Oreochromis niloticus: one gene and its partners. The protein of the gene in region 1 purifies or fractionates together with the protein of each later gene. This does not show direct contact. Links are inferred from orthologs where the notes say so. Each region holds a gene or a part of one and is shown on either strand. Other genes may lie near its edges. The genes, in order: stk25b, fgfr1op2 and sike1.

The links.
Region 2: the proteins of stk25b (region 1) and fgfr1op2 purify together in Homo sapiens (affinity purification with mass spectrometry; 5 studies listed by BioGRID and IntAct, with this or other methods). This does not show direct contact. The link is inferred for Oreochromis niloticus from reciprocal best matches to the Homo sapiens genes STK25 and FGFR1OP2.
Region 3: the proteins of stk25b (region 1) and sike1 purify together in Homo sapiens (affinity purification with mass spectrometry; 4 studies listed by BioGRID and IntAct, with this or other methods). This does not show direct contact. The link is inferred for Oreochromis niloticus from reciprocal best matches to the Homo sapiens genes STK25 and SIKE1.

Annotation. Positions count from the first base shown.
Region 1 is NC_031982.2:10,566,363-10,576,953, forward strand, and holds the start of stk25b (serine/threonine-protein kinase 25), read left to right. Parts: upstream 1-5,907; 5' UTR 5,908-6,285; coding exon 6,286-6,315; intron 6,316-7,025; coding exon 7,026-7,256; intron 7,257-7,354; coding exon 7,355-7,411; intron 7,412-7,527; coding exon 7,528-7,636; intron 7,637-8,949; coding exon 8,950-9,107; intron 9,108-9,232; coding exon 9,233-9,418; intron 9,419-9,841; coding exon 9,842-9,987; intron 9,988-10,107; coding exon 10,108-10,213; intron 10,214-10,288; coding exon 10,289-10,360; intron 10,361-10,591. Other genes in the region: mitochondrial fission factor homolog A, read right to left, coding at 757-927, 1,064-1,155, 3,433-3,611, 3,794-4,010. UniProt on the Homo sapiens protein: Oxidant stress-activated serine/threonine kinase that may play a role in the response to environmental stress.
Region 2 is NC_031981.2:34,716,300-34,726,019, forward strand, and holds fgfr1op2 (FGFR1 oncogene partner 2 homolog), read right to left. Parts: upstream 4,211-9,720; 5' UTR 4,097-4,210; coding exon 4,072-4,096; intron 3,092-4,071; coding exon 2,955-3,091; intron 2,777-2,954; coding exon 2,659-2,776; intron 2,520-2,658; coding exon 2,377-2,519; intron 2,293-2,376; coding exon 2,179-2,292; intron 830-2,178; coding exon 692-829; 3' UTR 362-691; downstream 1-361. Other genes in the region: med21 (mediator of RNA polymerase II transcription subunit 21), read left to right, coding at 4,364-4,447, 6,408-6,522. UniProt on the Homo sapiens protein: May be involved in wound healing pathway.
Region 3 is NC_031984.2:27,970,027-27,980,141, forward strand, and holds sike1 (suppressor of IKBKE 1), read right to left. Parts: upstream 4,188-10,115; 5' UTR 3,939-4,187; intron 3,867-3,938; exon of another isoform or gene 3,851-3,866; 5' UTR 3,848-3,850; coding exon 3,689-3,847; intron 3,509-3,688; coding exon 3,403-3,508; intron 3,331-3,402; coding exon 3,188-3,330; intron 3,061-3,187; coding exon 2,947-3,060; intron 1,446-2,946; coding exon 1,326-1,445; 3' UTR 557-1,325; downstream 1-556.

The DNA of each region.
Region 1 (10,591 bases):
CCAAAAGTGCAGTAACTGCTATCCTCAATCACCAGAAATTTACATGCTGTTGTTAAGAGAAGAGGGGATGCTACACAGTGATAAACATGACCCTGTCTCAACTGTTTTTTTTAAATGTGTTGCTGCCATCAAATTCAAAATGAACTAATTGTGGCAGAGGTGTGGTCCCCCTGGCTCAGCTGCAGGGAAGGGATGGTGCAGTGAGCTCAAGGGGGAGCGCAAGAGAGGCTGGAGGGACAGGTGAAGATTATTAATTTAATGAGGTCTTCTCTTCTTTATAGTGACGTCAGAGACCAGAATGAGAGAGACGCGTGTGAGAGGTCAGGTGAAAAGCTGAACGTGCTGGGACGTTGGCGCCAAAGCTGATTGCTTCTGCGTGTAGCACAAATAAAAATTATAAAGAGCTATCAGAACGCTGTGTGGGGTCTGAATTATTCACACTAATGTTTTTTCTATAATGGTACATATTCTAAGTTTCAACATTTAAACACACATGTTTGAGATTTTCAAGTCATTGCATTCTATTTATTTATTTATTTATTTGTTTATAATCCATGATTTCTTTCATGTGAACTAAAGTCACCAAACATGTAGGTTACACATCAAACAAAGGGGGACGTACACAAGTCAGGACTGTGACATATGCAAGTTTTAAATGTCACTTCTTTTAATAAGAAACATTAACACATCTTTCTTTATGCAAAGATTTGTAACTAATTCAGCCAAAAAAGAAATTAATAAAGAAAAAACACATACCTGCGATGGCTGTCATCAAGGACTTCAAGGACCTGCTGGTAAGCACGGCGTGTCGTTGACTGGATGTACGACAGGAGCCCAGCAGCTGTAAACAGGTTGATGTTTACATCCTCGGGGGAACAGAGGGGAGGACACAAACGGACTGGGGGGGCAGAAGGGGAAGGGGTTACACTGGCAGGGAGATAAGTGGGGAGAAACGTTAAAACAAAGAAGACATGTTTTATAAATCAACCAAGAGTGAAAGAAAGCATTGCATCGGAAAGGCAGCGGTGAAGAAGCAGCGTTTCAAACGTGGCTATGCTCATACCTTACATCGCCTCTGCTGATCTGACTGCTGTGACGGCCGGATACGTTCTCACTCGCGCTGCGCTCCCTTCGAGGCCGACCATGAAAGTTGGCCTGTTGTTAAACACAAAATTGAAATAACATCAAGCTCGGTTTGCAGCAACACGTGTTTTCTATATTGATGAATCCCACTTAGTTCAGTCAAACTGACTGGAAAAAGAAATCAGTGATTTTGGCCACTTGATTGAAGTTTTTCCTACAGAAGAATGTGCGATTATTAATTACTTTTCACCATTTACAAATTGATTATTTTTCAATTGTGTGTTAAGAACCACAAACCATACTCCACAGAGAGATCAGAATGGGAAGATGTGCAGCATTGCACAAAGAGACTTCTTAAAATTAAAAACATAAATAATCATGTTCAGTTTTCATTGCGTCTCATAAATCCCACAACTCCAGGCAGCTTTTGTAAGAAAGGATCAATATGTTGGGATAAAAAAAGCAACACCTTTAAGACCACCATCAAGGAATATCTGAAATGGTAATCCTAATAAAGTAAAAATAATGCTGTGTATACTAGTTGCTGCTCACTTATTCATAAGGAGTTGCCACAGCAGGTAGGTCTGCGTATCTGATTTATCCTGGTGCCTAAACCCTTGAGACTCTGTTGTCTACTCACAGGTTCAAACGGGGTAATTTATGGTACTGCAATCGTGTCCTTTTTGCATTTAGCATTTCTCTAAAGTTGGGATTTGCGGGACTCTTTGACTAAACAACTAATCCTCACTATTATCACAAATCATTATCAGACGTACTAGTAGTATAATCTAAATTGTTTTAAATTTTGATTGAAGCCAAATGCCGGTAAATTGCTATGCAGCCACCTGCCACCAGAGGGAGCATCATTGTTGAGAAAAGCCGTAAATCTGTTCATCATGGCCTGATCTCTTTGTTTACACTGTTACTGTTCTTTTAAAGGCAAAAGATACAAGCGGTGGAAATGTGCCCTCTCCAAAAGGTCAGTGGGCACTTCCTTAGCAATAGAGTGAGGAGTTCAGTCATTTGGGAGGGGCTCAGAGTAGAGCCACTGCTCCTTCACATCAAAAGGATCCAGCTGAGGATGATGCCTCCTGGGTAAGGTGCTCTGTTGGTCATGTCCTACTGGGAGGAGGCCACTGGGCAGAACCAGGACCTGCTGTACAGACTATATTTAATCACCTGACCTGAGAACAACTGGACGTTTCCCTGGATAAACTGGAGGAGAGAGGGAGGTTTAGGCTTCCCTGCTTCGGCTGCTGGCCTCGCAACCCTACTTCAGATAAGCGGGGGAAAAGAAAATGGCTGGATTATTTGTTGTTTTGTTATTTTAGATTTTAACTTTTACTGAAGTGGTTGTCATGAATTTTTGAACAGCGTGCATCATTCATAATGCTCGACAAAATGCACCACATTTTTCAGTTCAACTCCTTGGTTTTTCTGTTGTTAACTTGTCACATTTAATAATATGTGAACTTGCTTTTGTAGTAACACATTTATATACTATATTTAACATCAGTTTAAGTGTTTTTCCTTCTTCATTGTCTGGTGTGTAACATGCAATGTTGACAATGCACAATGCCCGTACAATTCAGCACCGTTATTCATAAATCAAGAATATGATTTATGATTTAAAATTCTTTTGTTTAGAGAGTTATAGACCTTAAACAGTTCTAAAATATAACTTGATATCTGAGTGTTTCTTAGTTTTATATGAGTCAGTTAGTCTAATTTTTTTCCCTTGTTTATTCAACTGAGAAATTAGTTGCCAGGAACATCCCTACCCTAGAAACAATGTACAAACATGTGTGCAATCTTCCAAAATCCCCACTGCATTACTCAAATGCTGATTGACTGACAAGTGGGCCAGAACAGGCAAGGGAGTGGCAATGGAGTTCACCAGGAATGGGAGGATAGTAAGAGGGGAAAAAAAAAAAAAAAAAAAAAAAAATCACAGATCAAAAGATAGCTCATGAGAAGTACAGACAGTGGGTGCAGTGAATATGTTACATTGTTTAACACTCACTTCAGCTCTTTGTAGATTATAACTTCACTCTACTCTGCAGCTGGCTGACATACCAGTAACAGCACAAGCAAAAGTACCCCACAGACCGGTTGTACCACATACTTTGTACAGTGCCTCTATCGACAACAGACACTCTCTGCAAGTAGACAGGCCAACGGAGTGCCAGCATACTCCCAATGCACTAACACTGCTGAACCATAATTTCAGGATAAGGCAAATGTAGTATACCACCACACTATGGATCCACTTAAAGTTTTGAATATAATGAAAGAAGAAAATTCAATATTCTGAGAAGGAAGTTGAAATTACTCTGAAAGAAACCATACCGCTTGGCTGGGATTGCGCTGTGAGTTGACAGTTTGGTCGGTTTCAAGAGAGTCCAGAGGCTGCTCGGTAAGGGTGAGGACACGTGGAGGGGCCTTCATGTTCAGGAGGTCCGCAGGAGGGATGGACTGAATCAGATCCAAGTCTCTTGGACATGCAAATCGAGGATCCTCGTCATCACCTACAGAAAAAAAGGGGTCATGAAATTTTTATACAGCATATGGGCCCATATGTCATGGTTTCCACTTTCAGCTGTTAACAGTTGTTTCCCTTAATGTACTACTTTTTTTTTCCTCACCAAATACTTGATATACATGATTTAAACATAATACCTGAAACATGACTGCCAACTGTCATCCTCACCTGCAACGACGATCCTCTCAGGAACCTGCATCAGAGCTGTATGAGTGGGCAAGGGCTGCTGAAGTGGCATGGACCCTGTTTGGCTCTCTGGGGCCACTTTGAGGGTCTCTGGGATTCGCATGCGCTGGCTGATGCCCTCTGTATACTCCAGCTCAAAATGGATGCGATTCATCTCAGCCACCTCTACAGAGGGGGTAGTGAAAGTTGCCCCACTCATCCAGCTGATAACCCACAAAATGGGAAACAAATGAAACTCACATACAGATATTAACCAAACAAAGTGAGGGTGTGAGTGTGACTGTCTCTAAGAGTTCAGAAATATAAGCTCAACTTAATGCCCCGTTTTAAATAAGACATTTTTCATATCTTGGCTGATTTTTTATGACATGCCAATTTACAGTAAAACACATGCTGCAGTTAACCCTGAATTTAGCCAATTAGCTCAGTAGCAAATGGTGCTACCTAAACTTTAAACACGATCATTAGCCCGTGCAAAAGGCATCTGCTCCAGTGTAAGGTAGTGAGTTTAGGTTCAAGCTAATGAGTACAGTACAAGAAATAGCATTTCATGTTACATAACAGCGACATGAGGTGAAGCTGTTGCTGGCAAGCCGCTTCAATGTCACTGAGTGAAAATCCACGCAAGACGCCATGTCTAGCTTGTATGTTAGCTATCTAGCTTGTCGCTATGCTTGACAATCGTTTAACAGACGATGCTATCCCTTTTAGCTAATTAAACAGTGCGCTGTAAGCCGCTGACTGTCTGCACTAACATGCTGGTAAACCAGAGGTCTGTCCTGTCAATACTCACCGTTATGGTTTTACCACCAGGGTTTAAACTGACATGCGCCAACACGCTGTTCGTGCTGTCATACAAACAACATCAGGGACTCCACAAACCACCCACCGAGACGGACTCAGCGAAAGCTCTCTACGCTTCTAGCTAGTGTGGGTGTAGCTGTTAATACTACCCCGCGTGACCGCCGGGGCGGTTACTATGAAGTGCACCGCCAGCCGCAAGAGTTGGTGAAACGCAATGGACACTTTAAATTAGCAGATTAACGAGCTTTATTTACGTAAGTTGGTTGTAGTGTATTTTATTTTTATAGTGACAGAAGTTAATTTGTCTGAACTGCAAAAATAAGATGTTTTTCAAATGAAAGTAGCCAACGTCACGGGAAAAAAGAAGGCTGACCACATCCCAACAAAGTGTGGGGGGGTAAAAAAATCTGTTTGTGTGGGGCACACTAGGGCCGATTAAGATGCGGGACATTGCTTCAGTGTCTGGGTTAAAATGCACCAACCGGCCAGTCGTTGCTGGGGTGTTTTGGTAGCTAGATGGTTTACTTCGTGTGCAGGTTTAAAGTCTGATGGAAAGGAAAATTGCATTTTAATGAAGCTGGACCTTTTGTATTGTAGATATCAGCAGTTTGTGGATGACGTCTTTAGGTATAATGTCTATGTATGACAGCTTGTGCACAAAGTTTTGATTAATAAATAAAAGCAAAATAAAATGTAAACACTCAAAAGATGTTTGAATGTCTTGTTAATATGTGTGTTGACATCCTCTTTGTCCACACTATCCACTGTGCTCAAATTTATACTATTATAGCTTCATCACAGAGACAAACACTAAGATTTACTCCCACATAACACTTTGGGTAAATCCAACCACCAGTTGTCTGCATCTGCTTAATTTGATTTGCCTTAATTTGAATTCCCAGTTCCTCTTCTATCAATCATACGGAGAAAACACACACAATCATTTCCACAAAATGTAATTTAAACTTATTTCAGCTTTAAATTGAATTGAACTTGTTCATTTTCTATTTTTGTATGTAATGAATCCTCAGTGGTGTTCTAATGCTGTCTGGCAGCATGTATGGTATTATGTGATGGTAGTGATGTATATATAGTTAGATCTGTTAGAACTGTTTTCAACGAGATCACGTGTTTTTGTCATTTAAAATTGTGAATGTAGTTTTATTTTATTTTATTTTTTCCGTGTACCATTTTCAGTACAGGAAAAACTTGAAAGGTTTGAAGAAACATGTCTCTAAAGCATGTAGAAATACAACTCCCACAATTCAACGAATTAAAAAAAAAACTTCGCGCATGCGTTCTCGATCTGGGCCATTATTTTGTCCTCCTCAAGCTTCAATTGAACAACGGGCTAAGCGCTTCTTGAAATGAATTAATTATTAATTCACGGAAAGAGCTATTTTTCCCCTCTGTTTCGGACCACCGATACTCATGGAGTCTCTCGGTCAGTAGCTCGGCTGCTCAGTCCTCCGTTTTACCCGGAGGCCGAAAACAGTGCGCGGAGTGACAGCCCCGTTAAAGCCAGGAGACTGGGTGTTTATCTAGTTGGCTAGCCAGCCTAGCTAGCTTCCTAGACAGCTACGAGGGGAGGAAAAACCCGAAAGGACAATTTATTGACTATTGGAAGACAGGACTGTGGCCGTCCCTCTCCCGTCCAACCAGCCGAGGGGATGGCACACCTTCGAGACATGCAGAACCAGGTAGAGAAATGATCTTTTCTCCAACTGTCACCTCCCTGCTTCTTATCCAAGACAAGCCGAACCCCCGATGCTTCTCAGGCTTTCCATGAATAACCTGGGTGGTGGGCTAGGCCATAAAAGCAAGTGTTAGTATCCACAGATGTGAATTTATGTATATATAATGTTCTTGCCGGTGGCGCAGTCAGGTGTACAACTGACAAAGCCATCAACAAATGACAAATATGTAATAATAATCTCTGATCTTGTATGAGTGTGTAATAACATTTTATTTTTTCAGAGTTGGGCTTTTAGAGTTGAGTCTTAATTACTAAGATACTCAATATTTTTTAAACTTAGTGACTTCTTTGAAGGCGTCTTTGTTCGCAAATCATTGCTCATTTCCTGCTGTTATGGAAAGACAAAACCACTGAACTTTCAGGAGTCACACTTCTTAAATTACATCCTGGCACAAAGCTCGATCTAGAGTCTAGGTAATTATAAAGGGATGTGACTGAATAGATGGGCACTGGCATAGATAAGAAGGTTAATTATAAATCATATTTTATATTTGGGCAGTGCATGCAAACACTATAATATGGAGATAAGGGACAACTGTGAACATCTCTTCTGTGTTGAGACTCGCCCACTCATAAACACACACATTAAACTACGGGGGGCTATCACCGTGGTATATACTCTGTACTTAAATCCTTTTGCTCTCACTGGGCCAGAATACTCGGTTGGACCCTGAGGAGTACTTCACCAAGCAGGAGCGGATCGGCAAGGGTTCGTTTGGAGAGGTCTACAAAGGCATCAACAACCGCACAAAGGAGGTGGTGGCCATTAAAATTATAGACCTGGAGGAGGCAGAGGATGAGATAGAAGACATTCAGCAGGAGATCACGGTGCTGAGCCAGTGCGACAGTCCTTACGTTACAAAGTATTATGGCTCATATCTGAAGGTGAGATAATGTAAATACTGAAGTGACACTTGCAGAGATGATTAAAGATGCAAACACATGCAGTGGTTTGTTCCTTCAATTGTTTCCTCCTGCCATAGGGAACAAAGCTGTGGATTATCATGGAGTATTTAGGTGGAGGATCTGCTCTGGATCTAGTAAGTAGATTTCTATTTTTATGCAGCTTACAAAGTTTTAGACAACTCCTCCAATAGTGCACTTTTCATACTCGAGAAGGAAAACTCATCCTTTTGTCGCACTGTCACCATCCTAGCTGCGTCCAGGGCCTCTTGAAGAAACTTACATTGCTACTATACTGAGGGAAATACTAAAGGGGCTGGAGTATCTGCACTCTGAAAGGAAGATTCACAGAGATATCAAAGGTAATGAGCACTCACTTCAATCTTTACGGTGTTCGGTCCTTTTAAATCAAACTGGTTCATTTTATCCCTTGGTGAAGTTTGTTTGTGCAGATGTGAACCGAGTTATTGCACTCGGGCACAGACCAAAACAGCCGCACATAGACCCTTTGGAAGAGGTTGTCTTGGTGCAGTTCTAAATGAACTCAAGAATAGTTTATTTATGATGTGAATATGTTCCTGGTAGTCGACCCAAACAAACTACCAGGTTACAAGTTTGAGATTTTAAAAAAAAACTTCCTGTAGGTACGTATGCTGTGTAGTCAGGGATGCAGCAAAGTACTAGAGTTGTGCAAAGGTCTGTATGGGCTAGCAGCTATCCGTGAAATGAAAGTAAATTTTACGTATTCTCCAATAGTCTAGAACACAGCACCTTCTTTCTATATTTACACATCTGTCCAGTGAGCGGACTGAACATCCTGATGTGTTTTGTTTTTTTTTCTCTTTGTGAAAAGATACCAAATCATAGGGAAGAACTCCAAGTTTACAAACTCACCAACTATACCAGAGAAAACAAACTATAGGTGTGAACAAACCCAAAGAGTCTCATAGCTGTCAGCTAACACAGTTGTCAAGCTCTACGCTGGTACAAACTCGGGTATAATTCAAAGCTGGTTTATAGCGTACGCTCTTGTGAGTACAAGACTCAATGCTGTGATCCAACGTTTTATGTCAACAACTGAACGCTGTGATAAGAGAGCTGCTGCACAGCCAGCCTTAACCAGATGCTGCAGAGAAGAAGTGCACACACTGAAATATGCCAACAAGCTGTGTACATTTTTAACACCATCTGTGAGCTCGAAATCTCACAACATGCTGCGTGTGCGAATTGTATACACTTTTACATATTCCTGTGTGTGGAGCTTTTTCTGCTCTCTTCTTTCCTTGTTATGAAAGAATGTAACACTTTGTAATTAAGTAATCGCACAAATAAGGAGTTTAAAACTTGGGTGTATTACTTGGTGGGGTGGATTTATTCTCCGTATTATTTGTGTTCTTGTGCTGATTTTCTCCTTTTATCTACAGTTCCTTGTGAAATTGAATGCAGCACTCCAGTCTCCAAAATCTAAAATTAATTATTAATTCATTTTAGATTTCAAAATTGAGAGTTGGCCTGAATAAGCTGTAACAACATTGTTACTCATTATCTCAGATGTTCTGGCCTCATCTTATTTTTAGCACGTTATATTAACCAGACTGCTGTAACAGATACAAAAAGCAGACCCAGATACTTTAGGTTGTATTTTAACTGTCTGTCTTTTCTGCCTTTCTCCCAGCTGCCAATGTGCTCTTGTCAGAGCAGGGTGATGTGAAGCTAGCAGATTTTGGGGTGGCGGGACAGCTGACAGACACTCAGATCAAGAGGAACACATTTGTCGGCACGCCTTTCTGGATGGCCCCAGAGGTCATTAAGCAGTCAGCCTACGACTTTAAGGTGAGCAAACGTTTGTGAACAAGCTGTGTCTACACTGAGAGCATGAAGAGAGATCATTTTGATGTTAACCAACAGGAACTGAATTTTGATGCCTCAAACAACTCTTTATGTCTTTACCCTCCCAGGCTGATATCTGGTCTCTGGGCATCACCGCCATTGAGTTGGCCAAAGGGGAACCCCCCAACTCTGATCTACACCCCATGAGAGTCCTCTTCCTAATCCCCAAAAACACTCCACCCACATTGGAAGGCCCTTACAGCAAACCCTTTAAAGAATTTGTAGAGGCTTGTCTAAATAAAGACCCCCGTTTTGTGAGTAAAACACCAACATACATCAGCATCATACATCTGGTAATAACTGCTGCACTGAGACAAATTGAACATGAATTCTTTATCCTACCAAGTATTTTGGATTAGCATGTCCGGTCCTTAATAGGAATTAGAGATTGTTCTGGTTGTTTCTCAAATATTCCAACATGATCCAACGTGTGCTCTTGAAAGGCGCCAAAACCTTTCTGAGTAATTTGACACTGAAGCTTGCTTTAGCCTGTGTTTGTAGACAACAGCACTCCAGCTTCAAAAAACTATGGGCTGTGTGATATTACCCTTGGTTGTACGATTTTATGCTCCTCATGTTTTTATTCACTACAATATAAAGCACCTTGAGGCAACAGTTGTTGTGATTTGACGCTGTATAAATGGAATTGAATCGAACTGAATTTCTTATCTGCACAGAGGCCAACAGCCAAAGAGCTTCTGAAACACAAGTTTATCACACGTTACACCAAGAAGACAGCTTATTTGACAGAGCTGATTGACCGCTACCGCCGCTGGAAATCAGAGGGACACGGGGAGGAGTCCAGCTCTGACGACTCGGACATGTTAGTCTCAACAACATCACACTTATTTGCATTAACAATCAGGGTGTTTCTGTCAGGGTTTCAGGGGTATGTTTGACTCTTCCTTTCAATCTTTTTCCTCTTTCTGTCCTGTTCTTTCAGGGATGCTGATGGTGACGTAGATCAGTGTCCCATGTGGACCTTCCCCACAGTCAGGCCCACCTCTATGAACAAGTTACAGAAGGGCTACACGCACACAGATTCAGAGGTAAGGCAGACAGAGAGACGGCAACACCAGGTCAAATCTTTTTTTCCTTTCTTACGCTCTGTTTTCTCTTTACAGTCAGGAGATTCTGTGAAAAGGCAACCAAAGTCACAGTGCTTGTCTGCTTTGGTAACACCCACCTTCAGAGAGGTAGGCCATACTGTTGCTTTTTATACAATCTCAGATTAATTTAGACAAAATGTAGTAGTCAGCGTATTTGCTTGACAATTGAAAGGTCACTAGGGTCCAAAAAGAAGGGCGTCCAATTTAAGACTGCCAAATCAAACATGCAGCATTACCTAGTGTGGCGACCCCTTGTGGCAAGGAAGCGGCCGACAGCGGCCTTTAGATTCATTTAGACTGGGCGTCGGCAACCTTCAG
Region 2 (9,720 bases), on another chromosome or scaffold:
ACTGCTTTCCAATAACATGTATAATAGTGGATAAAATTACTAATAAATCTAATGATATAAATGTGCAATAGTGAAACAATGAAGCACTTGTTTACAAGCCTTTCAGTGGAGTATAACTACACTGTGGTTTGACAGTGTTGAAAATTTCTATTCCACAGCTAGCAGCAGATGCACCTCACCCTTTGGAGCAGATCCTCTCTGGATATGGTTTCTATTCCCGCCGGTGACAATATTGGTGGGAATAGAAACCACTTTTACTGACATGAATAGTGAAAGTGAGAAGTTGTGTATCCGCAGGAGCAACCAAAACAGAACAAGAAACGTGTGACATTTGGAAGTTGACACAAACTCTACAAACAAATTTTCTTGTTTACAGATTTATTTGAACTCAAGCCCTTCGTTTACTCATTTACACCTTAAAATGTTGCAGGCACTGCGGGCTCGTGCATGCTGCCAAAATGAACAAAATGTTACAGCAGTACCAAGAAACAAGAAAAAGAACAAAGGGAGGGGGGGTGGCTCGCTGCTTGTTGCCCGAATCATCAGACAGGGATGCAGGTCTGGAGCAGCGATGTTCTAAATGCACCAGGAGACTCAACATCTGAAGCGGTCACGTGGTAACAGGCTGTAGACTCTGTACCCTACAGCGGCAGCAGTAAGGGGCTGGGGGTTTGGTGGGCCGTCCTGGGCTTTAACTTTTTCGTAAGCTCACGTCGGCACTAGTGAGCAGTGGCGACAGCGACGTGCTGTCTGATTGGTCGTCTCTCTTCAGAACCAGAAAAGCTTCCCGACTGATTCCCAGCAGCTCTCGGAGTCCATTGTTCTCCAGCTGAAATACACGGAGACAATGTAAATGCTGTGTTTAATGCAAACAAAAACAGAATGATTTGCAAATCCCATAAACCCAAATTTTATTGAGCACAGAGATTTCTCCAAATTCTCAGAATCCTTTGAATTTATCAAGCTGAAGATAATTAGATATTCAAAGTCTTCAGAATTATATGTTGACAAATGTTATTCTGAAATTGTTCCACAAGTTGCAGATGCAATTTTTTGCAGATTGATGAACCTCAGCACATCTTTACTTCTGAGAAACTCTGCCTCTTTAAAATGCCTTTTTATACCCAATCATGTTGAGTATTAATCTTTATGCCAGTTAACCGAAAATATTCCTTTTTGTTTACCCCATCCCAACTTTTTTTTTTTTATTTTTTTTTTTTTATTGCTAGTATTAAGTTCCAAATGAGCTACTGTTTTTCTTAAAATGCTACTTATTCACTACTGTGAATAAAATATGGGTTTATGAGGTTTTAATCACTTACAGTACATGTTACAGAGTGGAAATTTGATTTTTCTTTTGTGTTTCCAAGCATGTTAATATGAAGGGCCAAAAGTATCACAGTAGTAATCAGAGTTTCTGCCTGGGCATTTCAAGGATCGGGGGACTATTTTAAATCAAAAAATATAAAGCAAACAGTTACAGTAGGACGACTCTTTGGAAACAGTTAAGAGTTCAAAAGCTCACTGTTGACATCTGGTGGTTAACATGTGGAAACACTACTAATGGTTCTTACTGTCAAAAGCTAAAGCCACCTAGCAATGCTAGTTCGCTAAATAGTAACATAAATCTAACTTTTATGGGATTTATGGATAATTTCAAGTAGTAGAGGTAAAGGTCAAAAAGCCTACAAATATATCTGTTTAACCTAATGAAAATAGAGAGGTAGGATGTCTAAATGACAAAGTAGGTCAAAGGAAAAAAATAAAGCTTGGAGGAAATGTAAATAAAAAGGCTAATTTTTAATTTAAATGCCCTGTTAAGATCTGCTTTGACATCTCAACTCAACATGAAGCTTTAGTTCATTTTTAAACTCCAAACTCACACTGAATATACTGTTAAAATAAATAAATAAATAAATAACGGAGCACATGAACATTTTTAACTATGACTTGTGATCCAGTTTTGACTCCACCCCTCAGAGCCTTGATCATTTAGGTTTCCACTGATGACTTTTATTGGCCTTTGTGTCAAGTGTCAATTTCTTTGACACTTGTGATCCTCGGTGTCACATGAACAGACATTTGTTTGGGTTGATTTGTAACTTCTGTGGATTTTTTGTACCCTCCCCTGGTCTGAAAGCTTTGGAACAATTGGAAGTAATGCTGCTCGGCTTTTACCTCTAGCTGTTTAATCCTCTCCTCATCTTCACATATTCGCTCCTCATCCACCTCTATGGCTTTCCTCATCACGGAGGCCATTTCGTTGATCTTGTCTATGTGTGCTTGCATTTCCTGCAAAGATTTTTTTTAATGCACAAGAAAAGTTAAAAAAAAAAGCAAAATAATACATTAAAAGTACTTGCACCAGATACTGACCGTAGTGTGCTGCTCCTTCAGCTGGGTAACGATGGCGGGGTCGTCCCTCTTACTGGCCATGAGAAGTCTGAACACCTGCTCCCTGTATTTGGTCATGATGAGCTCTAAGGCAGACTGATGTTCTTCCAATGATGTACGCAGCTCTACATGAAGTATGAACAAGTTTGATTTACGGGAAGGATCAAATTCCGGCTTTATATTCCACAAATCAAAGCAAAACTAAAAATGCACCGGCCATCCGATCTCTCAACAGAAGAGTTGACATTAAAGGAAACTGCCTACCTTTGTTTTCCTGCTGGAGCTCCCTAATTTGACGGTTTTCCTGCTGGATTCCCAGGACTAGACTGGAACGAGGCCGATGCCGTGCAACCTCGTTCAGGGCGTCTATCTCCTCCTGGTACTATCAATAAAAAGAACAAGCAGAAAAACCTTCAGTCTAAAATATAAAATGATAGATCATCATAACAATTAAAAAATACTTTTTAAAAAGTGTTATTCCAGCTTTTGAAATAAACTTCATGGATTCTACATCAAATGCTTTAGGCCTCACATTTCCCCAAGTTCATGTGACACCCTACCTGTTTCATGGCCTCTACTCGCTTGTTGAGATGTGTCGTCTGTTCGATTAACATCTCAGCAGCGTTGTCATGGTTGCGAAGCCTTTCCACTAATGATTTGGCATCTGCCAGGACCTTCTCTAATGTACAGTTCATGCCTGAGGAAATACAAGTGATTCTTAAGAGGAGCTAGGACAAGGTTGCTTGCAAACATAGTAGTCATCCACCTCGTCAATCCTTCTTTTCTTCCCTTAAGTATTACATTTGGTTAAAGCAATTATCCATTAGCAAGCTATTCATTATAGTGATGACTGACACTATTGAATTATATCTTATTAAAATAGCTTCTTTATTTAAAGGTAGGCTGACTTTGTATCTGTACATACAGCAGCTGCAGTCAAGTGAAAGTTTTCTGGGAACTCTGAACAGTCCTAAAAAAACCTATGTATATACCATGATGCAGTGGCTTTTTGCAAGCTATTGCTGCTGTTAAGCAGCAATATGTTACAGCAGCCTTTTTCTATAAAAGTTGTCTTTTTCTATATGATAATCACTTTAATATGTTTTAAACACGACTTAAATCAGAAATGCTTGATCTAGATCTATTTTGCTTGATCAAACAACAACACCACGATATTGGTATTATATAATTTTAAAAATATCTGAAAACCAAGAAGTAACCTCAACTGAAGCGTCAGCTCTGACTTCAAAATACCAGCTAAAAATCATTCATTGACATTGTGTCTAGGCTTTCTCCTCCTCGACCTACTCGTCATTACAGCTGCTGTGTCAGCTAATTCGCTTATTACGAGCAAGCCTTGCGTGTTTTAGGCGTCAGATTCACTTTACATAATTACTTCTGAAGCACATTCGTCTCAGCTATATAAAACGTGAAGGGAATTAGTTTCTCAGTTTTCCAAATTCAGTAAGCTGACAACGTAAAATATATTTTAACAACACATACATACATACATACATACACACACAAGCTGGGCTCACTTATTAGCCAACTTACTAATCAGAGTTAAGCTTTCATGCAAATCCACTTACATGCTCGCATTATAAACGGGTGCGTATATCAAATCGGTGTTGCCATGCAATTTTAGATAATGAATTAAAGAAACAAAAATGATCATACCTGGGGAAGCCACAGTACAAGACATTGGAATTGCGTTAACTCCGCTGCTACTTCCTGTTGATGTTTAGTAGCTAATATTAGCTAAAGGCTAACATTAGTCCTCATAAAGCAGCCACAAACAGGGTCTAATAAAGATCCGTTCCTCGTTAAAATAGAAGATAACCTCCGCTGATATGAAAATATCGATTTTTAACGCGTTTCAAGTTTGCTGTGAACCCAGTTGTGAGACGGTAAAAGTAAGTAACCCAACCTTTGCCAACCAAGGTTCCCAAAATACCGAATATACCGCGAGATGTTTTATGTTCTCGCGACAGTTACGTCAGAAACAGACAATATGGCGGACCGGCTAACACAACTTCAAGACGCAGTCAATTCGGTAAGGCAAATGTTGAATATCTTAAACGTTCTTTGGTAGAAGGAGGTGTAAAAAAATATATAAAATGCATCGTCATGTCGATTAGAGTTGGTAGCTAACGCAAACCAGTGGCTCGAGTAGTTTAGTAACATGTGAACAACACGGGGTAGCTAACCATTATAGCAAGTATAGTTAAAGGCCTGTGTTACGAAACGACCAAACCAGCTCAGTTATTTTAAACAACGAAGTGTTACAGTGTTAAAACGTCGTTTTGGCTAGCTTCCTTGAACAAAATAATACAAAATAAATATATTTGGAAAAGAAAAATACTAAACTAACGTGGGAAAGTAACCCCAGAGGGTCAACATTTGATATTCAGAAGTATTTAACATGCAAAAGTAATTTCTCTATATTTGGCTTGCAAGGGACCAAATTTTCTTATTTATTTCAGTGGTCTTGAACAGAAGTTGAACTTAAAGGAATTACGAATGGAGAAAAGTAGGTCAGATTTTGATCCTTCATGTTGTACCAGCTTGCTAGAATATTGCAAAGTCTGTTTTTGCCTTACATACTGTATTTCCACATATTTTTTCCCATTTCAATAAAGTGCTGCACCTATTTGTCATTTTCCAAAACAAACAAACAAACATAATAATAATAATTATTTAAGGGTGGTTCTAGACCAGGGATGTCATTCTCCTTTTGCTTGGTGGCCTACATACAACACACTATGCACTTTGGGCCAATCAGTGAAACTACCCTTTCTGTCACTTACAGTCAGAACTTTAACTACACATTTAATCCCTGAGACATTGTAATATAGTTTTTCTACACAATAAAGAAAAGTTTGTCAGTGTGACTTGTTGGGCTTAAATTGTAGGAAATAAATGTGTAAAATTGGAGATGCTTGTCCATGCCTTCATCTCCTCTCGTTTAGATTACTGTAACGCACTCTTTTCTTGTCTGTCTAAGGCTTCCCTAAATCGCCTCCAAGTGGTCCAAAATGCCGCAGCAAGGCTTTTATCCCACAGTCATAAATTCTCCCATATCACCCCTGTGTTAAAATCCTTGCACTGGCTTCCGGTTGAGTATAGATATCAGTTTAAAATCCTCACTTTTACATTCATGTGCCTACAAGTGAGGCCCCCACTTATATCACTAAGCTTCTCCAAACCGGATCCTTAGATCCACTGATAGTGGTCTTCTAACCATTCCATGGACCCGTTTGAAAACGAAGGGGGATTGCGCTTTTCAAGCCTTGGCTCTAATATTATGGAACAGTTTACCTCACCCGCTACGCACCATCAACTCTGTAGCTACTTTTAACAGCTCAAAACACATCTGTTTAGACAGGCATTTAGGTAATATTCATGTGTAGCAAACTGTTTTACTGGATATGCTACTATACCCTATTTATAGTGTTTTATTGTATCGATTGATATGCTTTTATTCCCATGTGAAGCACTTTGAAAAAACTTCCTGTTTTAAAAAGCGCTATATAAATACATTTTACTTACTTACTAAAATAACAGAAAAAGTTCTTTTGGCTTGTTGTGTAGACTGTCCTGTAATAATATATTTTGTAATGTGACCCCATTGTAAAAAGCACAGATTTCTATAGTAGATAGTTTAAAAAATGAACTTTCTCTCATTTCATTATTTGGGGGAGGTTTTATCTTCAGGAGAAGCTGTAAAACTTATGAAAATACAGTTAAAAGTCCAAAACTTAAGCATGCCTTCACATTTTTACAGTGGGTAAAATTGGATTCTGGTCTCCGGGCCTTATGGTTGACACTGGTAAACTAAATATCTATATTTTATAATAATAATAATTTTAAAAAAAAAAACATACTTTGGTAAAACTGATGAAAGAAATGTCTTTAAATTTCTTTTGTCTGAAGTTTATGTTATCAGCAGCAGCAGCTAGTGTCTTGTTCAAATAACAGCGTAACCTATTACTGGTTTTGTTTTGTGTGTCCAGCTTGCTGATCAGTTTTGTAATGCTATCGGCGTTCTGCAACAATGTGCACCTCCTGCATCCTTCAGTAACATCCAGACAGCTATCAACAAGGATCAACCAGCAAACCCAACAGAAGGTTTGTGTGTTTTTACTATGACATTATTTTTAACCATCGTTTTTATGTCACTTTATATCAGCTGATAAATATAAGGTGCCCCACCGGGAGACTCTGTTGTCCTGCTGGGAGACTTCAATGCTCACGTGGGTAACAACAGCGAGACCTGGAGGGGCGTGATTGGGAGGAACGGCCTCCCTGATCTGAATCCGAGCGGTGTTTTGTTATTGGACTTCTGTGCAAATCACAGTTTGGCCATAACGAACACCTTGTTCGAACATAAGAGTGTCCATAAGTGCACGTGGCACCAGGATGCTCTAGGCCGCAGGTCGATGATCGATTTTGTAATCGTATCACCAGACCTGCGACCATATGTTCTGGACACTCGGGTAAAGAGAGGGGCTGAGCTGTCAACTGATCACCACCTGGTGGTGAGTTGGATCAGGTGGCGGGGGAGGACGCTGGACAGACCCGGTGCACCTAAACGCGTAGTGAGGGTGTGCTGGGAACGTCTAGCAGAGGCCCCAGTCCGCGAGATCTTCAACGCACACCTCCGGCAGAGCTTCAACAGCATTCCGAGGGAGACTGGGGACATTGAGTCCGAATGGACCATGTTCAGCGTCTCCATCGCCGAAGCTGCTGCATTGAGCTGCGGCCGCAAGGTAGTTGGTGCCTGCCGTGGTGGTAATCCCCGAACCAAATGGTGGACACCAGAGGTGAAGGGAGCCACCAAGCTGAAGAAGGAGTCCTATCGGGCTTGGTTAGCCTGTGGGACTCCGGAGGCAGCCGACAGGTATCGACAGGCCAAGCGGAATGCGGCTCGGGCAGTGGCTGAAGCAAAAACTCGGGTGTGGGAGGAGTTCGGAGAGGCCATGGAAAAAGACTTTCGGACTGCCTCGAAGAGATTCTGGCAAACCGTCAGGCGTCTCAGGAGGGGAAAGCGGTGCTCTACCTGCACTGTGTATAGTGCTGGCGGAGCGCTGCTGGCGTCGACTGAGAAAATTGTCAGGCGGTGGAAGGAATACTTTGAGGACCTCCTTAATCCCATTGACACGTCTTCCGAGGAGGAAGCAGAGTCTGGGGATGAGGGAAGTGACCCGCCAATTTCCGGGGGCGAGGTCACTGAGGTAGTTAAACAACTCCTTGGTGGCAGAGCCCCTGGTGTTGATGAGGTCCGCCCCGAGTTCCTGAAGGCTCTGGATGTTGTAGGGCTGTCCTGGTTGACACGCCTCTGCAATGTTGCGTGGAGATCAGGGGCAGTACCCCTGGACTGGCAGACCGGGGTGGTGGTCCCCATCTTTAAGAGGGGAGACCGGAGGGTGTGTTCCAACTACAGGGGGATCACACTCCTCAGCCTCCCTGGGAAAGTCTACGCCAGGGTGCTGGAAAGGAGAGTTCGTCCGTTAGTCGAACCTCGGATACAGGAGGAACAATGCGGTTTTCGTCCTGGTCGCGGAACACTGGACCAGCTCTTTATCCTCTCAAGGATACTTGAGGGTGCATGGGAGTTTGCCCAACCAGTCTACATGTGTTTTGTGGACTTGGAGAAGGCATTCGACCGTGTCCCTCGGGGTGTCCTGTGGGAGGTGTTGCGGGAGTATGGGGTGTCTGGCCCATTGCTACGGGCCATTCGATCCCTGTACAACCGTTGCAAGAGTTTGGTTCGCATTGCCGGCAATAAGTCGGACTTGTTCCCGGTGGGTGATGGGCTCCGCCAGGGCTGCCCTTTGTCACCGGTTCTGTTCATAATTTTTATGGACAGGATTTCTAGGCGCAGCCAAGTGGCGGAGGGCTTTCACTTCGGTGGCCTCAGAATCTCATCTCTGCTTTTTGCGGATGATGTGGTTCTGTTGGCTTCATCAGGTGAAGGCCTCCAGCTCGCACTGGAGCGGTTCGCAGCCGAGTGTGAAGCAGCGGGAATGAGGATCAGCACCTCCAAATCTGAGGCCATGGTTCTCAGCCGGAAAAGGGTGGAGTGCCCACTCCGGGTCGGGGATGAGTTCCTGCCCCAAGTGGAGGAGTTCAAGTATCTCGGGGTCTTGTTCGCGAGTGATGGGAGAAGGGAGCCGGAGATCGACAGACGGATTGGTGCTGCGGCTGCAGTGATGCGGACGCTGCACCGGTCCGTCGTGGTGAAGAGGGAGCTGAGTGTAAAAGCGAAGCTCTCAATTTACCGGTCGATCTACGTCCCTACCCTCACCTATGGCCACGAGCTGTGGGTAGTGACCGAAAGAACGAGATCGCGGATACAAGCGGCAGAAATGAGCTTCCTCCGAAGGGTGGCTGGCCTCTCCCTTAGAGATAGGGTGAGAAGTTCGGCCATCCGGGAGGGGCTCAGAGTAGAGCCGCTGCTCCTCCACATCGAAAGGAGCCAGTTGAGGTGGTTCGGGCATCTGACAAGGATGCCTCCTGGGCGCCTCCTGGGTGAGGTGTTCCGGGCATGTCCCACCGGGAGGAGGCCCCGGGGCAGACCCAGGACACGCTGGAGAGATTATATCTCTCGGCTGGCCTGGGAACGCCTTGGTATTCCCCCGGATAAGCTGGAGGAGGTGGCTGGGGAGAGGGAGGTCTGGGCTTCTCTGCTTAGGCTGCTGCCCCCGCGACCCGGCCTCGGATAAAGCGGATGAAGATGGATGGATAAATATAAAAAAAAATTAAAGTTCAAGAGGAGATGAGAGAAACACTCATCAAAGATGGTGACGTTGCATAACTTCTCCACCAGAGGTCACTGTGCAACTTCATTATGTTTGGAATCCAACAAACACAGTAACCAGCTCAACATTATCAGAAACAGATTGCATGTAATTGCCAACTTGAGCCATCGAACCTCAGACTGATATCAGTCATAATGACTCCATCTTATAGTAACATTTATGGCAGTTTTTAATAACAGTGATGGGGGATGCTTGACAATCTCATTTTGCAGTGAGATTACGTCATCTCATTGGATAAAACAGATACTGATAAAGTTTAACTTTGAGGACATAAATTGTACTATATGTTATTGCAATATTTAGCATATCCCATAATGTTGAAAATGACAGTAATATATTGTAAAATTGTGGTATCAAATGGTGTCTGGTGATTCCCAGCCTAGTATAGCTGTGTGTTGGTACATGTCATAGCTGTGTGCTGTCACCAGAGGGCAGTATAACAATTATGTGGAACAGTCTGAGAGCTAGACTTGTTTGCATTTGTTCAGTTTCTCCTTTAACTTCG
Region 3 (10,115 bases), on another chromosome or scaffold:
TGACCCTTGTTTTGATACAGGACAATATCGTTACGATTGAGAAACCGAAGCATATTTACCTAATTTAATGGCACCGTCTGCTAAGCATCGGTCCCACTTTTTCCCCAGCTCCTTCTCAGACATACTGAACATTAGCTTGTGACAGGCTAGAAGTAGCAAATGCACCTCTGCGTGATGCTTTCACGTGTTGTCGGAAATATATCCCTAGGGTTACGATTTAAACGCAGAAGAATAAAAGACTGCACTGAAAATTTTTATGATTTTACAAGTAATTAGTTTAAACATTCACCCTTTACCGCCTTGGTGTATTGACAGAACTTATGTTAAGGAGGAAACATTTAAAAAACTAAAGAAAATCCCGTAACGTCTTTTCTTTGAAAGCAGCATTGAAACTCTTGCAAACCTCGCGATAGGTTATACCCCAACAACTGAATGGCGCCAGCTTGCGGTAAAGAAAGGATTATCCCAAACAAGTCACTTTCGTCCATACATCCAGCAAGCTGTACAGTAAAAAAGTTTGGAAACAAGAAAACAAAACCAGGCACGCTTTTATGTATAGCAAACTTTCTGAGTTTAATTTGACACAAATCAGTACACTGTCGTGAAGTCATCTAACATGATTTCCTAAGACGACAAAATACAGTTTCTGACAACATACAGTGTACAAACATGGTATCCATTACACAAAAAAACCCTGGCATGTTTGAAAGTGTTCTCACTAACAAAGATGTGCCATTAGCTGGTACGCAATACTCTGAATCGGCAAACTGTACAACTTGTGTCTAACACACAGAATTAAGGTACCAAAACATGAAAACCATGTTTTATATTGAGACAATCAACCATATCAAACCCAAAACATCACAACAACAAAGGTTCCACTGCTACTCCTCAGCAGGCAAAGTTTAAAACAGCCAAAAGTTATCTTATTGGCAGCAAGCACAGCTTCTTATATGGTGTGGACTACAAGTTGGCTTGTTAATAGATTTCAAGTGAACTCAAAGGTTGGGCTGGTTTTGGGTGCTTTACTCACTGTAAAAGTTTGTGTGTGTGAACAGCAAAGGGGCACCAAAGAGGTAGAAACTGTATCCTTGGAGAATAAAAGTGTCTTTGGCTAAAAACTAAAGAAATCCCCTTTGCTTTTACTGCCTTTGCTGCAGTACATGTGTATTGTGAGTGATAACCTCATGCTGGACTGCATTTCGTTACATGTAAAAAAATAAAATTAAAATAACAATATCTATAATGTGGTGGTGAACACAGGTGAAGACACAATCAGCCCCCTCTCCTGGTTCTGTGGAACTTTATCCCAGCTGTACTTCAGGTCACTCGGTGGACCCCGGCAGAGGAGACTCTTCTCCTTCTTCTGCTGCTAGTGACTGGCTAGTTGTCTTCACAGAGCTCTTGCTGATTTCCAGGAGATCACGCAGCTCCTTGTTCTCAATCTGAAGGTAGAAAAAAAATGTTCAAACATAACTTTTATAGTTAAATATCTCTTCCTTATAACATGCATGTGCTTCCCCGTGCATACAGGTTTTGAATGAAAATTGTGATGGATGCATCACATCTTCTCTTTTAAATAGTGTTTCTGTTTATTTGTGATAGAATTTTTTGCACTTTGGCAATGTTGGGTGAAGCAGATAACCAAAGCAAATACAGACACGTGAAAAAGAAAGTACACCCTCTTTTATTTCTCAGGTTTTATCAATAAGACTTAATAAGAAAAAAAAAAATCATCAGTTCCGTAGCAGGTACAAAAATTATTTAAATACAGCCCCAGATGAACAATAAAACATGTCATTATTTATTTAATAAAAAGAAGCATCGTGTAAAAACCCGTGTACAACTTTATTCATCCATCATTATGGAGGAAGTCTGATCAAATGTTGCTTCAGCACATTGAGGATCACGATTATTCGTTACGATCCCACCTGAGTGTTCCAGCTGAGTTGAGGTTTGGCCCTTGACTGAAATATTACAAAGCTGTGATTTCCTTTTTCAGCCATTGTGCTGCAGATTTGCTGCTGTGTTTGGGATCATTGTCCTGCTTCATGAGTCAGTTTCAACCAAGCTTTAGCCGTCAGACAGACTTCCCTCACATTTGACTCTAGGATACTTTGGTACGCAGAGGGATTTTTGGATGATTCAAAGAGTTCACGGTACTCAGGTGCAAAACAAGCCCTAAATTATCACAGCTCCACCAGTGTGTTTGACAGTTTTCACTGAATGAGCTGCTGTGTATTACAGCCAAACATTTCCACACTGGTCTGGTCTGTCCAAAGGACAAACTTTATGCCTTGCAGTTATGCAAAACTAACAATGCTGCCTTGTTCTTTTTAAAGGGAAGAGGCTTTCCCCCCCTTTCATTTAACTTGCTAACGTAGCCCTGTAGAGTCTGAGCTGTAGCTCCTGGATTTTTAGCCATTTCCATGAGCATTACACAGTCTGTGGCTGAATTTGCTAGAACAGCCACTCCTGGGAAGATAGCTATTGTTCTGAATGCTTTTATTCATTTATATTCTTAAATACACGTTTGTTACTGTTTGGGAAAATGTACCTTTTCAACAAACTTTACAGTTGTAGCATATTTAGAGAGCTCACAAAAGGTTATCACAAAGATGCTACAGTAAGAAATATAACCGACTGGTTTAAAAGGCCCTTTTATAACCCTTGTACAACCTATTTGACTGTAATAAAAAAACAAACCTAATAAAACCCCAAACAAAACAACATGCTCCTTGACCTGATGCACTAAACCTAACCATCCCACTAAAAACTTGATGCTAGCTGACAACTCAGCTCTCATTTGCAGTTATGATCATCTATTATCGTTCCGTCATTTTGACACAGAAGCTGATGTCTGAGGTCTGTGGTAAAATCACATATTTTTCCACAGACCTCATGAGGAAAGGTGTCATTGTGTCCATGTATAACTGCATTTCTCACCTCTAGCTGAGCAAGCCTCTCTCGAACACAGCAATAGTGCTTATCATCCACCTGCACTGCTCTTCTCATCACCTGGCCCATCTCGCATATCCGCTCCACTTGGCTCTGCACTTCCTGGAAAAGAGTCAGAAATCAAGTTTGTTGTTTTTATTTTTTTATTTTTTAATTTGTGTGTCTATGTATTTGGAATCATAGCCCATTAAACGTGTGAGCAAATTAAAGAAATGCAGAGTTGATGTACTTTGGCATGGTCCTCATGGAGGCTGAGCACAGGTTTGGTGTCCAGCTCCTTCTTTGCCATCATCAACTGGAGCACATGCTTGCGATACCGACACATGATCAACTCCAATGCGTACTGGTGTTCTTCAAGAGACAGCCATAGTTCTACAAAGGCATAAAGAGTGTTAATACTAGTATATAAAACCAGCCAGTCAGTCAGCAGAACCTTTTTTTTACCTTTATTCTCCCGCTGCAGTTCCTTGATTTGAGTGTTTTCCTGAGTCAGAAGGACATGAGGTTTGTATTTCGTGAGCTCCTGTATCTCTGAACTGTCATCTGTGTGCTGAGAAAAGAGCAGAGAAGAAACAGATAAAGAAGACTTTAGCGAACGCATATCACGAAAGCATATTCTAGATACGAGGGAAACTCGCTTTGTAGTACAGGTCACTGTTTAACTAGTTCAATGTGTATACCAAGCAGTAGTGCAGCTTTTCATAAGCGTGAGCTATCTGCTCGAGTTTACCTTGTCTGGCAGAGCATTTCCCACCTCTCTCATGCCCTGCACTCTCTGATTTAGGGCCTCGGACTGCTCTATCAGTCCCTCGGCGGCTGTGTCGTGCTCTTTTAGCCTCTCGAGAAGGGTCCGAGTATCGGCCAGCACTTTTTCTAAAGTGCAGGCCATTTACTGGAAAGTGACAGCTCTTTTTTATGTTAGGTAAAAAAAGCTACTACAAAACTAGCTAGAGCGAAAACAACTCACAGCCGTTGCTTACCTGGGCTATATAACCTTAGCCGAGGCAGCTCGGTGCCATTATAGAAACATAAATATCCTTACTGTTTCGCTACTTAACGTTAATGTTGTGTCGGCAGACAGTGCAAGTACCAGACACCCAGATCAAAATATTACTACATTACTAGAATATTACTGCTTCAGAAACTGACGTTTCCGTGTAAAACTAAAGTGTTAGCGACACTTCCTTCTTCTTCTTCTTCTTCTTCGTCGTCGTCGTCTTCTTCTTCTTCTTCTCCTCCTACTTTTGGCGAATTGTCAAACTAACGTTGAGTCGCCACCTACTGGGGTAGAGTGCGGTGTAGAAGTTTGGCACACAACCAAAAGCGGGGTTAATGGCTAAACCTATCAAGCCTATTGGTCTTTAAAATATCTTTACATAACGCAACAGCGTCTCATTAAAAAAAAGGAAAAGAAAAAAGGATATTGTTTCTTCACTGTTCAACAGTTGTATGTTAAACAAATGAACAACAACAACAACATAATTTTAAAAGTTATCAGCATTTCAAGTAAAAATGTAACGTAAAACACTTACAGTGCTGAAAAAATATTAGTATCGGGTAATTTCAAAGTGAGTGAAGGGCTGAGTTGAGCTGAAGCATTATGTTACATTTTCCTATGTTGGGTTTTTGTGCAACGTGTAGTCTCAGAAACCCTCCCGTATGGGGAGAAAACTTAGTTATGGCGACACCTATTAAGTTTAGTTATCTACTAAATGGCATGATAGTTATTATTTACTCATTAATCAAATAATTAATGGATTTATTATTTATTGAACTCGACTAGATTACTCGTACATATCTTTTTTCCAGTCTAGACAGCGAGGTAGATAAAATGTTAACGTTACTATAACGCAAATGCCTCCCATGTCCCTTTGCGGCACATAGGCGGTTTCTTATCAGCGCCTCTCGTAGCCACTCTTCGCTTTAGGATCTTTGGTCTACCTAGTATCGTCAAATATCGCGGTAGCCGCCTCCCTATCTCTACGCAATGTGCCGTGCTGCTTCTAGCGGCGCTGGTGACAGTGCTGAAAGCTGTTGGGGTGAGTTTTTAATATTTTATCCCTTTTAGCAGAACAATTTAAGCGTGTACTGGTAATATATCAATAATAGTTTTCTTTTTTGTTCAGTGAGTACTTAGAGGTGAATTGGTGAGTCAGCGCTTAGTCGTACGCACAGTTCGGGCCTGGGTGGGGGCTGCCTTGTTACAGCTCCACATAAATCACACAAGGGCCGAGGAGTACAACGGCATGCTAGCTAACCGTAGTCGCTACTAGCTACTTAGCATTGCCAATGGCCTAGTTATACTGTCGAAGGTATAAATAAACAGGCGCGTGATGTTTTTTCTAAGACGTATTAGAGTCTGGTAAAGAAAAAGCACGTGTGTAAAATGGATATGGTATACTTTAGATACAAAGATGGCATTTAAATAGAATTAAGCACGAGGCTTGTATCTAGCTTCTTTGTTGTTCCGTCCTCGTGCCGTTAACGCTGATAATGTTATTATTGCGTTATCGACGTAAAAAAAATGAATAAACTGAGTGTTTATATTTAACGTTGTTCTTGACTGGCAAGAAATTTAAAATGTACATAATTATAAGTACTTTTTAAAGAACTGTCCTGGTCGGCAGTCACTTTTGGCATTGTCTGTTCTTAACTCTATTGTCCGTTTAGCCTAAATAGCCCGTGTTGCAGGTTGGCGTGTGATACGATCCAGTTCTAAAAAACGTCTCCCTTATAATATGATTGCTAGTTTAAAAAAAAATCTCTTTATAATCAGTCCCATTTAAATTAATACATAGAAATTCTATATATTTTGACTGATGTCCGAAACCACATTAAACATTAATGTGAAAGAGAAGTCGAAATGCTATCTCTATGTACAGTGTACAACGTTGAACCGTTGCTTAATTACCATTAGCAAACTTTCTGTTCAAGGACTCCAAGCTGCACAGGATTTAAGTCATCCGGTAATTACAAAAGAACTGAATGCGTTTTAGTTAAGTTAATGATGAAGAATTTCTTTAAGTGTTGCTAAAGACAGCGGAGTAGTAGCTGTTTACGACGATTAGCATCGGCGAAATGTTAATCTGTCAGGTTTTGTTTGTCCACACAAGGTCAATAAGACATCCTTAAATGTGATTGTGCGGGTTACTTTGCTTAATGAGCAAAAAAGAACTAAAGTAACGAGGTTTTAACGAACTATAGTTTATTGTATGTTTTGACATCGACTGGTTAGACGTGCCGTTCGCGATGGCGTCGCATACCGCAACGTGTTGGATCAGGCCATGTTGGCTGTTCCAGCTGAGGATAGCGGATTGCTGAGAAGTCACATGGTGGTTCCTGTCGGGGCGGTTGTTTTGTTTGCCCAGAGAAAAGACTGTCGTTTAATAAATGTCCAATCATAAGAGGTATCTTTCCCTCTCATGTTTATTAAATAACAAATAGCTCAAACTGTAGTTTGGTCCCAATTTTACAACAAATAAACAAACAAACAAACAAAAAAAAACCATGGCTAAAACGGCCAATCGCTGCTAGTTGTGTCGTGAGTGGATTTTTTTTTTTCTCATTTCCTGCGAAATAAAAAGCAGAAAAAATCCGGCGAAAGTGGATTCCACAGAAGCTGTCTTCGGTTCCTGGCTCATAACCTTTAATACATTTACGTAGTCAACCTTGTAGCAATCACATTTGAGCCTTTTAACAACTTCATATTCTAACCTAGTGGGATGTAAGAAGGGAGACATTGCGACATAGTCACAGCAGAATAGATATCATGTGTCCTTGGTTGGCTCAGCTATCTTGTTTTCAGAGCAGGGTATTTAGGTCAACAACATCCTGCTCTGGTGTGCTGTATGTTACTTGGAGTTTCTGGAAAAAAAATGTTTGGGGGGGGAGAGGTCATACACACGTTACAATGCTTTGTTTGATTGCCAGATTAGCCCCTCTAAAAATGTGTAAGGTTGTGTGCATGCAGAACAACTGGGGGGCTGAATGATGAAACAGAGGGCCTTAGTCTGAAATGTTGCCATAAATAACATAGCCTGAACTGAAGGTATGCACAAGGACTTGTTGATCCACAGTACTTGTCAGCTGCCTAGCATTGTATCTAGAGGCATTTGAGGAAAGCTTATTTTTGTACTTGAGTGTGACTAAAGAATCAAATGTTCCCAAAAAACCTCAGGCTGCCAGTGCTTGGGGTTTTTACTTGTTTTCGTGTGATAGAATAGTCATATTAGCTGACAGTCTAATTTTTCTCCCTCACTCCAGACTCATGGAGCCCTTGGGCCATTTTGTATTTAACCTAAATTTAGATCAGTGGAGTTGGTGATAAGTTTTCATCTAACCAGATCTTCTTTTTTTTCTTCATCCCCCTTCAAACAGTATGAAGTGAAACCGAACTGAATTTTTGTACCATCCGCAACTGCTTCAAGTTCAGATCAAATCAAAGAAACTGAAGACAAACCTCCCAAAACAAAGTCAACACTGAAGAAGCGTTGGTGAAAAAGGATCACTTCAAGGATTTAAACGCAAGAAGTAACCAAATCCTGAAACGACCAAAGAATACGCACATCATCCCAACTGCGAAGTGGAAGAGAAGCAAACTTGCGCCCAAGCATATTCTGAGAAGACCATAGTTGATCTGAAACCAGAAGTTTGTGCCTACTCAACAGCTTTGACAAAGCACACGTCCCAACGCTGCTCCTAGCCCTCCTCATCCTCACTACACCGCCGACTCACCACCGGGGTGTGGAGTGGGCTGCTATCTGCTAGTTGTTGTTGTTGGTTTTTTGTTTTGTTTTTGTTTTTTTCCTTTTCCCCACTCCCATAGCTCCCTTCCCCAACTTACCCCCTCTTTTTTTCCCCTCCTTTTTCCTGAGCAGTGTTTTTTGCACCTGCCTTTGCCTTTTGTTTTATTTTTGCTCTAGATTTCTATCTCCACCCCCCCTTTTTTATTTTTTACTTTATGCAACGATCTAGAACTTGTGCCAGAAACTGTAACAAGTGTGCGTGTTCAACTGTGTGCGTGAAGAGGTCCACAAAAACTGCTAGTTCATCAAAATCCTGAGAGATAAAGACACAAGGCGACCAATAAAGGTAGGTCTCGAGTCAGTTGAAGCCCTTCATAGTGTGTTTATGATGGCTGTAAATGTACTTCTGGTTTTGCCACACGTTTTGCTCATCATTACCTCTCTGCATTATCAGTACCCTCTTTTGGATTTTAATATTTTTATAAAACTGGTATCTGATTCAGAATCTGCATTTGATAGATGCACTACATGATTCACACATGCTTTAAAAACAGATTGTATAACACTTACTGCCCCAAAACAGTGCAGTGGTATGCCGAGGATGATGTTTTATTTATATTTCTTTTCTTTCTTTTTTTCCCCTCAGTCACTAAACACAAATGCGTTCTGTTTTTCAAAGTTGGACTTATTATTTATTTTTATTGGACCTCATTTAAATTTCTCTACTTGTAGGCCAATATTTTAAGCTGTTGTTTGCAGCAGCCAGTTCCAAGCTACTGCAGTGCTTGGTTAGACTTGAATCTTGCATACTTATTGCTTTCTCCATGTGACATCACATCCTTTTGGTGGAGTGAGTGCAGGAAGTGATACTTGGTGTAAAATTTTGATTTGAAATGTAAATTTTGATTTGATCTTAGTGACCTCTACATTGTCCTTTTGTTAAAGATAACTATTCTGAAAACGTGAAAGAAGCCAGCACCACTGCACACTGAGCCACCACCACCTCCAAATACTTGAACTAGTCATTCAGTTTTGTTTGAAAATGATTTACTTGCCTTCCCTTACCTGATCCACACTCTTCCTATTCTGTCGTTCTCAGGCCATACCCCCCCTACTTTTTTTTTTTTTTTTTTTTTTTTCCCCTTTCCCCCCTTTTGTATCCTCTCTTGGGATTAAAGCCTGCAGCTATTTTCCTTTTTGTTTGTGACACTTGGCACACTGGCTGACCTGCCTTACCTATTATGTTTGTTCCTCTCTTCACCCTTGCAGACATCCAGCGGTGTATCATTGGGTGGTTGCATAAGAATAGTATTTAACACTAAGCAAAAACAAAAACGTATATCAAAGTTCAGCAAGTGCTCAAGCAAGTTTTGTTCAAGTTTATGGGAAAATATGGGCAGCCCCTGGAAAGGCTTTGTTGAGTTTACCTTGCCTGCGTCGCCACCCACCGCGTTTGTTAGCGCTGACCTGAGCAGCACCTCCCCTGTCGGACTCAGCCTGTCGCCATATGGCCGATCCGTAAGTTTCACCTTCCCACCTTTCTACGTGCCCCACCCCATCGAGCACCCATCCACCCACCTTGCCCCGCATCTTTGCTGTGAATGGCATAACTTCTTTCATCTTTTCAGGCTCCCAAGACTAGCCTCTACTCAGTTATTTTCTTGCAGGGTGAGGGGTGTTCTGCCAACTAGACGACCGAAATTTGATGTAAACGAGCACTTTTTTTTTAATTTTTTTAAATGTTTTTTTTTTGTTTGTTTGTTTGTTTTTTTGTTTTGTTTTTTAACATTGTACCCTCCCCGATTAAGATTCGGATTCGTAAAAGGGAGGGCAGTGACTCAAGATGGACAATATTAGCACTTCGACATAACTACACACAAAGTCCAGCACCACATGAAAAGGTGGATACTTGTTCCTCAGGAAAACTGAAAATTGATCTTAAGTAGCTGGTATTTACAGTACTCATCCATCAGCACTGGACCAAAGCCCTTAATTCTCTTTGGGGATTCATGTACGTTTGTGTTGTGTCATAAGGAGCTCGTCGTGATAGTTGCAGGACAGGGGCTAGCAAGAGGCTGCTCTGGGATCCCCTCCCTCTTCCCCATTACTCATAATCCATCACAAACTTCCTGTCCACTGTAGATGCACTGCTCTTTGACCTGTCATTTGCATTTTCTGATTCTCCATCTTTTCTTTTCTTTTTTTTTTCTTTTTTTTTTAAATTGCAGCACTGTATTTAAATCATTCCCATGACCGTCTGTGCCAATAATTTATTTTAAATATCTTTTTAGTGTAGATCTCTGTAGATCCGTTCCTGTATGAGTGCGCTCTAGTACTACCAGGGACTTGGTAGCGCTCTAAATATCGCCCCCTTCAACATGAGATTTTCAGGGTTGAGTGACCTGATGGTTT